Canis lupus familiaris: one gene and its partners. The protein of the gene in region 3 purifies or fractionates together with the protein of the main gene of each other region. This does not show direct contact. Links are inferred from orthologs where the notes say so. Each region holds a gene or a part of one and is shown on either strand. Other genes may lie near its edges. The genes, in order: TRIM25, PLAAT4 and MAVS.

The links.
Region 1: the proteins of MAVS (region 3) and TRIM25 purify together in Homo sapiens (affinity purification with western blotting; 3 studies listed by BioGRID and IntAct, with this or other methods). This does not show direct contact. The link is inferred for Canis lupus familiaris from reciprocal best matches to the Homo sapiens genes MAVS and TRIM25.
Region 2: the proteins of MAVS (region 3) and PLAAT4 purify together in Homo sapiens (affinity purification with western blotting; 4 studies listed by BioGRID). This does not show direct contact. The link is inferred for Canis lupus familiaris from reciprocal best matches to the Homo sapiens genes MAVS and PLAAT4.

Annotation. Positions count from the first base shown.
Region 1 is NC_049230.1:31,683,375-31,687,119, reverse strand, and holds the start of TRIM25 (E3 ubiquitin/ISG15 ligase TRIM25), read left to right. Parts: upstream 1-988; 5' UTR 989-1,062; coding exon 1,063-1,644; intron 1,645-3,745.
Region 2 is NC_049239.1:53,930,971-53,934,715, reverse strand, and holds the start of PLAAT4 (phospholipase A and acyltransferase 4), read left to right. Parts: upstream 1-1,071; 5' UTR 1,072-1,181; coding exon 1,182-1,190; intron 1,191-3,745. UniProt on the Homo sapiens protein: Exhibits both phospholipase A1/2 and acyltransferase activities. Shows phospholipase A1 (PLA1) and A2 (PLA2), catalyzing the calcium-independent release of fatty acids from the sn-1 or sn-2 position of glycerophospholipids.
Region 3 is NC_049245.1:17,973,735-17,977,479, reverse strand, and holds the start of MAVS (mitochondrial antiviral-signaling protein), read left to right. Parts: upstream 1-1,083; 5' UTR 1,084-1,102; intron 1,103-3,745.

The DNA of each region.
Region 1 (3,745 bases), on a different chromosome or scaffold from region 3:
GGTATGGAAAGAAATCGCTAGCTTTAAGCATGAGTGCCTGGGGTCGGCCTTCAGGGACCTATCCTTAGCTGCTGTGCCACAGTCCCACCGACCAGCGGGGAGGAAACGAGTCTATTTTATGTATTTGTTTATTAAAGGTTTTTTTTTTCTTTTCTTTTTAAAGATTATTTATTTATTTATTCATAGAGACACAGGCAGAGGGAGAAGCAGGCTCCATGCAGGGAGCCCGACGCAGGACCCGATCCAGGGTCTCCAGGATCACGCCCTGAGCTGCAGGCGGCGCTAAACCGCTGCGCCACCGGGGCTGCCCTTTTTTTTTTTTCTTTTTAAAAATATTTTTATTTTTATGATTTATGCATGAGAGACCCAGAGGCAGAGACATAGGCAGAGAGAGAAGCAGGCTCCCTGCCAGGCCCGATGGGGCACTCGATGCCAGGACCCCGGGGATCACGACCTGAGCCACCCAAGAGCCCCAGGGAGTTAGAGAGGGAGGGATGGGCAGCCCGGGTGGCGCAGCGGTTCAGCGCCGCCTGCAGCCCGGGGCGTGATCCTGGAGACCGGGATCGAGCCCCACGTCGGGCTCCCTGCATGGAGCCTGCTTCTCCGTCGGCCTGTGTGTCTCATGAATAAATACATAGAGTCGGGAGGGAGAGGGGCACCCTCCCTGCCCGGCCTCGGGCGCTAGCCCAGTGCGGAGACAGCCTGGCCCGGGGCCCCCAGCGGGAGCGCAGCTCGGGGAGCTCTGCAGGGCGGCTCAGGCTGCGCCCCGGGGCGCCTCGCGTGCAGGGCAGGCCCGCTCGGCTGCTGGGGGCGGGGGGGGGCGGGGGCGGCCTCGGGTAGAGACCGCCGCGGGGGGGCGCCCCAGACCCGGAGCCCGACGGCCGCGCCAGGCGCCCCGGGACCCCCGCCCCGCCCCGCCCCGCCCCGCCCCGCGTGACTTCCTGGAGCGCCGCGGGCCCGCCCTGCCGCTCGCTGGTTTCGTTTCCTCGGCCTGGGGGGTGGGGCGCCAGTGTCGCCCCGAGCCCGCGCGTCCCAGCGCGTCCCGTCCGGCCGCCGAGCGCCATGGCCGAGCTGGTCCCCCTGGCCGAGGAGCTGTCGTGCTCCGTCTGCCTGGAGCCCTTCAAGGGGCCGGTCACCACCCCGTGCGGCCACAACTTCTGCGGCGCGTGCCTGGACGAGACGTGGGCTGTCCAGGGCCCGCCGTACCTGTGCCCGCAGTGTCGCGCCGTCTACCAGGCGCGGCCGCAGCTGCACAAGAACACGGTGCTGTGCGCCGTGGTGGAGCAGCTCCTGCAGGCGGGCGCGGCGCCCCAGCCCCCCGACGGCGGGACGCCCGCGGCCCCGGCCAAGACCGGCCCGGTGGCCTGCGACCACTGCCTGAAGGCGCCCGCCGTCAAGACGTGCATGGTGTGCATGGCCTCCTTCTGCCAGGAGCACCTGCAGCCGCACCTCGACAGCCCCGCCTTCCAGGACCACCAGCTGCAGCCGCCCGTCAAGGACCTGCTGCGCCGCAAGTGCGCTGAGCACAACCGGCTGCGGGACTTCTTCTGCCCCCAGCATGACGAGTGCATCTGCTACATCTGCCTGATAGAGCACAAGGCCTGCTCGCCTGCGTCCCTGAGCCAGGCCAGCGCCGACCTGGAGGTGCGGGGGGCGGGGGGGTTGCGGGGGGGGGGCGCGGGAGGGCACAGGGAGGCCGCCTGGGGCCCGCGGGGCTGGCGGGGCCGAGGGAGCCACCGTGCACGCATCGCCTCGAGGCCCAGCGCGGGCCACCTGGGGTGGGAGGATGGGCCTTGCTGGGCCTGACCACCCAGGCGGGGCAAGGAGAACATACAGGCCTCCTCCGTCGTCGTCCGTGGTCCACCCTCCGCGGGCCCCTGCTGCACAGAGGGGACCGCGGAAGACAGCTGATGTGGCTTGCCTTAAGCCTACTCCTTGGCTGACGGCGTTTAGTAGAGGGTTTCCAATATCAAATAGGAGCCCTGGAGGTTACCTCGGGAGATCTTGGCAGCATCCAAGAGGTGGATCTAATTGGGTTCATCCTGCAGTTGAGGAAACGGAAGATCCAGAGAGGTTCATTTAGCCTAAACTAACCCTGTGAGTGGTGGAGCAGGCATTGGGACCCCTCCCTGGTTCGACTCTAGAGTTTGCCACTTTTCCCCATGACCAGCCCAATACCCGAGTTTGGGACATTCCTGGAGCATGGGACATTCCTGGAGGCTTGAGATCATGTGAACCAAAAAGCTTCGGTAGGCAGAGAGTTCTTTTTTTTTTTTTTAGTCACACACACAGAGAAAGAGGCAGAGACATAGGCAGAGGGAGAAGCAGGCTCCATGCACTGGGAGCCCCACCTGGGATTCGATCCCAGGTGTCCAGGATCACGCCCTGGGCCAAAGGCAGGTGCCAAACCGCTGTGCCACCCAGGGATCCCCAAGAGTTCTAGTGACCAGGTAGGATCATGATGAGCAGAACCGTGGGCAAATGCCAGATCTCTCTGGAGACCCCCACAGGCAGCGCCAGACTCTTGCACCACAGTACCCTCCAGCCTGGCTGTGAGACTTTACGAGCACACTGTTGGTCCCCGGGGCCTGAGTGCTCATCAGTAAATTGAGGAGGTGGGACCAGGTGGCTCCTAAAGGAGCCTTCCAGGTCTGTGATGGTTTTAGTGGTTTGGGGTAAATCATAATTTCCCCTTATGGACTCAAGGCAGGGGCTGACAAGGTGTAATCGGACCACCTTTTTTATATCAGCATGAGCTCCACAGCATAGCCTGATTGCCTTTAAGTCTCTCGGCCCTGTCATGGAGAACAAGGACTGTCCTGTTGTTGAAGGAGATAGGAGGCCTGGCAGAGGTTTGGGGCGGGTGGGGGGGGGAGGGAGGGGCAGGCGCCAGGACCAGGAGCCAGGTCTTGTTCCTGTGCAACCATAGCCATTCCTGGGCCTGGTCTGCTTCTCTGTCTGAGCTGGGGCCCTCAGAACTTCTTCCCTGAGTCTCAAAGACCAGACCTCAAGACATGGCCTGAGAGTTGACCTCTGAGGCATGACCAGGTCAGGCATGGCCACCTGGGTCTCCACCGGCTGCCTTAAAGAACCTGTATCACTTTTCAAGCCAGGAGCTGCATTCTGCCCCATATCAACTATGGTTTGGGGCAAGTCACGGCAATTTTCTGAGCCTCAGCTTCCTCATCTGTAAAATGGGATAGTAGCCTTCCCTCCCAATCTGCGAGGGCGGTCAGGAGGCTCTGGAGCTGTGTGGAAAGTGCTTTGTAGGCAGGCCCCCATGACAGGCAGGTGGCTGGTTGACCTGGGCTCTGACCTGGGCTTGGTGTTGACGCCTGGGTTTCAATTCTGACTGCTTCCTCGCTGGGCGAGTACTGCCTAAGTGCTGCAGGTGTACTTTCTGTGCAGCTGGGGTGGAAGAGAACTTGCTGGGGGGGGGGGGCAGGTATCAGGCTGCCCATTTCTTCTTTGCCTCAGGGTGCATGGGCCTATCCTTGAGGACCCATGACGGCTCCTGCCAAAAGGCTCTTCTAGAAGTTCTTATCCATGAAGTCAGAAGGCAAGTAGGGTCAGGAGGGTTCTTCTCAGCCTGGCCTGGAGCTACAGCTCTCTCTCAGCCTCTGGGGCCTGCATCCGTACGTGCTTGGCTTTGTAATCCTTGTATCAGGCCTGGCCTTGCTACCTCCCCAGGCCTCACCATTGTCCTGGCTTGCAAAGTCCTTCGATCGGCCTCCCCTTCTAGCCC
Region 2 (3,745 bases), on a different chromosome or scaffold from region 3:
GGACCCAAGGATCACGACCTGAGCCAAAGGCAGGCACTCAACCACTGAGCCACCCAGGTGGCCCTGTCCTTAGGTTTCATAGGAATCCTCAATTAAGGCAGAACACATTGCACAAACAAACTAATGATCATATTCTTGCACATCACCCCATAAGCACATGATAAGCTAGTAATCAATTCTGCTTAAAATTTCTCAGGAGGGCAGCCCCAGTGGCTCAGCGGTTTAGTGCCACCTTCAGTCCAGAGCGTAATCCTAAAGATCCGGGATCGAGTCCCATGTCGGGCTCCCTGCATGGAGCCTGCTCCTCCCTCTCCTTGGCGTCTCTGGCTGTCTGTGTGTGTGTGTGTGTGTGTCTCTCATTAATAAATAAAATCTTTAAAAAAAAATCTCTCAGGAAACTTGAAGAACCTGACGCTCGATCACTGAAGACATGTGGTGGATTACTCTAGCCCTCGTGGCACTGTAGCTGGTTTCTTTTTTCATTCCTGTTCCCCTTTAAAAGCCCTTCCTGCAGGGAGATGGGACAGTGGTGTTTTAGGACATGAGTCCACCGTCTTCTCAGTGAGCGGGCTTTCTCGAATAAAATCGCTTTCCTTGTCCCAACTCTTTGTCTCCCTCATCATATTGGCCTGTCGTGCAACGAGCGGGTGGGACCCAGGTTCAATCACAAGCCACAGCAATTCTATGTTTTGAGGTAGGTAATCACAGACCTTCCATTTAGAGTGACTGTTCAGTCTCCCTTTAAAAACTGTTTCTCGGGATCCCTGGGTGGCTCATCGGTTTAGTGCCTGCTTTTGGGCCAGGGCGTGATCCTGGAGTCCTGGAATCGGGTCCCACGTCGGGCTCCCTGCATGGAGCCTGCTTCTCCCTCTGCCTGTGTCTCTGCCTCTCTCTCTGTCTCTCATGAGTAAATAAATAAAAAATCTTTAAAAACAAACAAACAAACAAAACTGTTTCTGTGGTGCCTGGGTGGCTCAGTTGGTTAAGCATCTGAGTGTTGGCCTCAGATCAGGTCTTGGTCTCAGGATCCTGAGTTTGAGCCTGGTGCTGGGCTCCACCCTGGGCCTAATGCTTACTTTACTAAGAAAAGTAGCTTTACATAGCATCGAAAAGGAAAGTGAAAGCAAAACTTTCAACTTCAATAAAAGTTGGTGCACAAGCAGCACACAGCAGACAGCACCATGACTGAGGTAAGTGTCCCTGACTTTCTACCTAGGGCTCTCCAGGGGTGGGGGGGCCCCTTCCTATAAAGGCCTCAGTCTGGGTTCCTGGCCTTGGGCACAGTTAACTCCAAAGTTTGGAAAAGCTTCAGAAGGAGGTTCTGGAAGACTCTTTGTAGTTTAAAAGTCCCTCTTTAAAAGCCCCTGCTGGGCTGTGAGGGCTTTGGGTCCAGGGAGCCTCCTCGCTCCATCTGGCTCAGCCGGGGCCCAAGGGCCTCCGGGGGTAGGAGCTGTGGTGGCAGGGGGCTCTGTCTCCTGAGCTGGGAAGCATCTGGGGCGTGGGTGAAGGGCGGGGGGTCCCAGGACTTGGGAGGTGAGTGGATCCCCGCTGGGCCTGGCTCCCTGGCTCCAGATGGACTTCGGCGCCTGCTCAGCTCTGTCCTCCTCTCCCTCTTGCTCCATGGCACTTGGCCTGCCCTGTGAAGTCGGCTTGAATTTCAGCTTTCTGACGCGGACTCCCTTCCTGACCTCTATGGTGTCCAGATTCCCACACAGCCCAGGCAGGCCTAGGCAGGGCTCGGTGGCGGGCGTACAGCTGAAGGGGAACAAGTAGAATTCAGGCAATTCAGGGCAATGAGATCATTCCAGAAGGAGCGGCCTTTGTTGCCTGGGCAACCATCTCCTTATCCAGGCACGGCCCAAGTTCACATTGGATCTGCTGGCAGCTCCTATGCGCGTGGTGTCTGGGCTTGACCTTATCACAGGTGGAATCCAGAGTGCAAAACCCCCTTTTGATTCCAGCGTGGAGGCCACCCTTGGACCAGCCGTGCCCTGGCTGAGAGAGGGGAGGCCCTGGCCCTGGGTCCCAGCCCTGCTGGTCCTCCAGCCTCTCTTCCATGGAGATTCCCTTGGCCCCCATTCTAGGCCAGGCCCTCACTGGTTCCCAGAGAGGAAGGAGGCAAGGGGCACCACACAGGATCCCGCCCCACTGGAGCTCCAAACCCAGAAGAGGTGCAGGCAGGCAGGGAAAGTCCCGGCACAACATGATCTGTGCAGAGGGGGTGGCTGCCCCAGGACCTGGGGACCCAGAGAGGGCAGCTGAGCCAGGCGGGCCTGATGGCAGCTTCTCAGAGAGGACTTTCTGGTGTGGATGAGAAGAGGAAGGGAGCGGGTGGGGAAGGGGACTGGGGGCAGAGACAGCCAGGTGTGCAGGGGAGCAGAGGCAGGAGCCAGCTGTGTGGTGAGAAGGGCAAGCCTGGCAGCCTGTGGAGCAGAGGGCAGGGAGGGTGAGGAGGGCCTGTGAGTGGCCCACAGAGCAGGCCCCATGCCCTGAGGCCAGATGTGCTCTGTGGGAAAGCCACGGTGGGTCCTGGGGAGACCAGATGTGGGGGAGAAGGGACAGGAGGCCAGGATAGGAGTGGGGCCTATGGTCAAGAGGCCTTAGGGTCAGGACACCTTGCTGGCTAAGTCAGAAAAACATGTGACCCTTGATCTCAGGGTCATGAGTTCAAGCCTCACATTGGGTATGGAGATTACTAGAATAAAGTAAAAAAAAAAAAAAAAAAAAAACACAGGAAAAAGAGGGTGAGGGTCTCAGAGACAGGGTTGGGGGCTGCCCTGAAACGAATCACAGTGTGAGAGATGTTTGAGGAGGAGAATTAAGGAGAAACTCCTGGATTCTACATTGGTGGATGGATATTGGCACAAAGAAGAGGGCCGGGGTACACAGGCCCCAGGTCTCCCATGAGGTGGCCTGCAATCAGAGATAGAGGGTTGTGGGCTGAGAGCTGGCTCAGAAAGGGAAGAAATTGAAACATTCTCAAAGCAGAAGCCATGGCAGCCTGGGGGGGAGGGCACAAGCCCTCCATGTGCGTGCTGTGACCGTCCCCATGGGTCCAGATGCTAGCTGGCCCCACAGAGTCTCAGGTTTCCTTAGGATGCTGTCAGCTCCTGCCTCTCAGGTTGCCATCTCCGAGGGTGGGTGTCTTGAGGCTGGCGGGGACAGAGTCCAGGGAGGAACAGGTGCCTGTGTGGCCATGGACAACCAGGGCCAAGAGGTGGGATGAGGACCTGAATGTCAGTCTGAGAAGAGGAGAGAAGGTGGTGACTCCCCTGCCCGACTGCTGACGATGGGTTCGGGGCTCCCAATCTCAGTGAAGGGGTTTTCATGCAGGGAGTCACGTCAACACTCTCAGGAGCAGCCGTGCAATGAACCTGAACGTGCACATTCACATCCTCCTCGGTGTGCCTATGAGTATCCACAACACGCACACACACACACACACAGACACACACACACACAATATGCAACACACACAGATATGCATGTAATCAGAACACAACACACATAGAACACACATGCACAACACGTACATATATATTCATGTGTGCTACTGCACTGCAGCCCATACCACATGTACACAAGCACATACATACATGATAATGTGGGCACACTGAACAAATCCCCACTCTCCTATTCCACAAGGTCCTTTTATCCAGACTTCAGCCCCCAGTTTGGGGAAGCTCTAAAAGTGACAGAAGGCTGAGGACCTCACAGAGGCCAGGAGTTCCCTCCCACTCCAGGC
Region 3 (3,745 bases):
ACCTAGGAGTGGTGGCTGGGTGATAGGCTTGGCATAGGTTTCACTTAAGAACTGCCATTTTCTGAATCTTTTATTTATTTATTTTTTAAGATTCTATTCATTTATTTGACAGAGAGAGAGCACAAGCAGGGGGAGCAGCAGAGTGAGAGAGAGAAGCAAGCTCTCTGATGAGGAGGGAGCCAGATGCGGGTTTGACCCTAGGACCCTGAGATCATGACCCCAGCCAAAGGCAGACCCTCAACTGACTGAGCCACCCAGACACCCCTGAATCTTTTAATATTTCTTAAAACCAGGAAAAATAAACCTCTACCTGGTGATTGTCTGAGTATTTAGTGGCTTCTAAGGTATAAGACTTTAAGCCTGTACCTGGAACACAGTGGGAGGCTCAGTAATTGCTGGCCTCAGCCCCAAACAGAGGAAGGGCCAGGCAGCTGGCAGGCGCTGTGGGGAGGTACCTGGTCCAGACCCTTGGGCAGAGAAGCCTTTCCCACACAGCACTCAAGACCCACAGCCAGCAGTCTGGGCAGCCCGAACTTGGCGCCCCTGCCCTGCTCTCACCTACCCAGCCTCCTCGCACTGTGATCCTGCTTCCTCAGGCCCAGCATTGGTGTCGCTTCCTGTGCACTTTGCGTATCACTCGATATTTATTGGGCACTAACTTTATGCCAGGCCCTGGGTGCCCCGGTACAAATGCCATAAAGACCCTCCCCCCTCAAATTACTCAGGAGGAGTGATTGCTTGGCGTAGGAAGCATGGGGACCCAGCCGAGCACTGACTCCGAGGTCGGTCAGCCACTTGAGTTCTAGCCAGATTCTGTATTTCCCCTGGAAGTTTGTTCTGGACAAACAAAATAATCTGATCCTCTGCGCCCCAGCAGGAGCCTAGGTCTGCCCGGAGCGCCTGTCCCGCGGGTCCAGGCCCTCGAACCACTGCCAAGCGCCCACCCCCGCGGCCCAGTGGCTCAGGCTGGCCGCCACGCCCCGCCCCCGCCGCCTGGCCAATGGCCTCGCGGTCCCGCCCCTCTCTGCCGCGCCCCCTCCTGCAGGGGAGGGTTCCGGGGTGTCTGCGGAGGTCCGCGGGTAGCCGGGTAGTGGCTACCGAGGTAAGTTAGCCGTCCCGGGCGCGGTCGGTCCCCTGGGCTCTGGGCGCGCCGATGGCTTTCGGAGCGGTGGTCAGCGGAGGCAAGAGCGGAGCGGGACGCGGAGCCCACCGGGGCGCACGGGGGTCCGGGGACGGGACTGGCTGCGCGGGGCTGGGTTAGAGCCGGTCCCGAGGCGCCGCGCTTCGCGGCAGCGCCGGGCGGGGCGGGGGGGCGTGGGTCGTGTGCTCGGGCGGGAGGGGAGGTTGGGGGAGCAGACAGGCGCTGGCTGCTGAGTGCCTCCAGCGCCCCGCAGGCCGGGGGTGACCCTGGGGCGAGGCCTAACCTCCCGGAGCTGCGGCCGCGCCTAGAGGCCGCCGTCCTCCCCCGGGCCTTGACAGTTCTCGGTGGTGACATCTGACCAGAACAGCCTCCCTCCCTCCCTCCGCGGGCCTGGTTCCTTCCAGGAATTGGAGCCAAATCAGTGAGGCCTCGCCTCTCTCCTCCGGGTGGTTATTTCTTTCCGGGACGCACTCAGCGCGTCCGGGGCATTCAAGGTAGGAACTTCTCGCAGCGTCAGTCCGCCCTTCTCTGAGACCGGAAGGAGCTGCTAGGAAAACATTGGGGGAAAAAAAAACACAACCAAAAAACGACGTTCTGTGCACGCTGTGGAGCCTTAAAAACTTCTGGAAGGACAGTCAGCGATCTGAGAACTGCGACTGCCGAACAGGGCAGGTTAGCATGCAGTCAGCCTTGTCTGAATGATTTACATACTATTCCTACAAGAGAAGGGACTACGTCTTTCAGCCTCCCTGGCACACCCCCATCTGAGGACTCCCCTCACCCAGGCAGTGGCCTTGGTCCCTCTGGGGCTGTGAGTCTCACTTGTTGCAGCAGCCCCTATGTTCTGTAAGGTGTATGGTGAACTGCAATGAGACAGCAAGTCCTGGGTTCAAATCCTGTTAGGGCCACTGGTCTGTTTGTACAACCCAGCATCATTTCTCCTCTCCTAAAGGAAAGAAAATTAGAATGTGCCTGCCTATAGTAGATCATGAATAAATATGAACAAATATGGGCTTCCTTCCTTTTTGGTTGGAGCATGTTCTACTTCCATACCCCCCAAACTCTTGTCCTTAGGGCTGCGGCTCAGATGCAGAAGAATGTATCACCTGACTCTATCCTTGTCCCTCCCCACATGCCATGGAAAGAAAGGAGAAAAGCGTCATTTAGCCACCTTAGAGTTCTTTGCTCATCTCCTGAACGCTCAGAGGACCCCTGCCCCATCTTCTTGAACCTCTTGACTTCTGTCATTGACACTTGCCACACCAATAATGTAGCACCTGGTGGCTGACAGAGCAAGGCATGCCACATGAGGCTATGAGGCCAGCAGACAGGACTACTGCCCCATTTCCCATATGGGTGACAGACTGGTGGCCCCAGCTCTGCTCTGCAACATTATCTTCTAGAGTCCCACCCAAGCCACACACCCACATTTTTGCTCCAGTCTGGCTCCTCTTCTGACCCCTTTCTTCCCAGAAAACCCACTTGGACATGTCATAGTGTCTCAGACTTGAGACACTATGATCACCTGATCAAAATGGAGCTTTGGAATCCTCTCTGCACCACAGCTTCTCCACCAGGTTCTCTGGCCTGCCTAAATGGCACCATCCATCTACCTAGTGCCTGAGGAGTTATCCTTGATTCTTCTCTCTCCCTCACTTCCCACATCCAGGACCCACTAGGAATCCAGCCACCTCTCACCATCTCCATGGGCAGCATTCTGGCCATACCCATCCTGTGGCCCCCTGCTTCAGCCTCCCAATTGTCTCCCTGCTTCCATCCTGGCCTCTGTACAATCCAGGTCCTCACAACTACCAGAGAGGTCTTTAACATAAGTCAGATCCTCTCCCTTCTCTGCTCAGAACCCCCAGTGGCTTCCCATTTCACTCCAAGAAACCCCCCAAAGCAAAAATAACAACCCCCAGAGTCCTTTCCTGCAACACTGCACATGAGCCACCACTTTTCAGAACCTCCTTGACCTTGATCCCTTCCCCTCCCCTTAGCTTTCTAAACCTGGACCACCCAGACCTGCTTTCTGTTCTTCAAACATGCCAAGGTCATTTCCACCTTAGGACTTTTAAATTGCTGTGCCCTCCGCCCAAAATGCTGATCTTGCAGCTCAGAATGGCTCAGCTCAAATGTCACCAATTCAGAAAGACTTACCTGACCACCTCTGTTCATGCAGCACGTCCTTCTCCAGGGATTCTGTCTCAAAACCCTGGTTTATTTTCTTCATAACTTGGTTACTATTTGGAATTCTTATTTATGTACGTGTTTACTGATTTGTTATCTGTCCCACCCCAATAGAATATAAATTGGATGATGGCAGAGATCTTGTCCCTCTTATTCCCTGCAGCTCTCCCTGAGGGGGAGGCAGGTAAGGAACTCACAGACAACCCCATCTATAATTGCAAATTGTGGTAAGTCCTACCTAAGCAAGTAGTAGCAATTGCTAGTAATTGAGGCACTTGTAAATGTCAGGCTTATGCAGTTGAGCTACTGTATTGTCAAAACAAGCCCTCTGAGTCATTTTAGGGGTAAAGAGAAGACTGTAGAAAGCCGGTAATTTGCCCTAGATCATACGGTGAGTGGAACTAGCCTCCTATC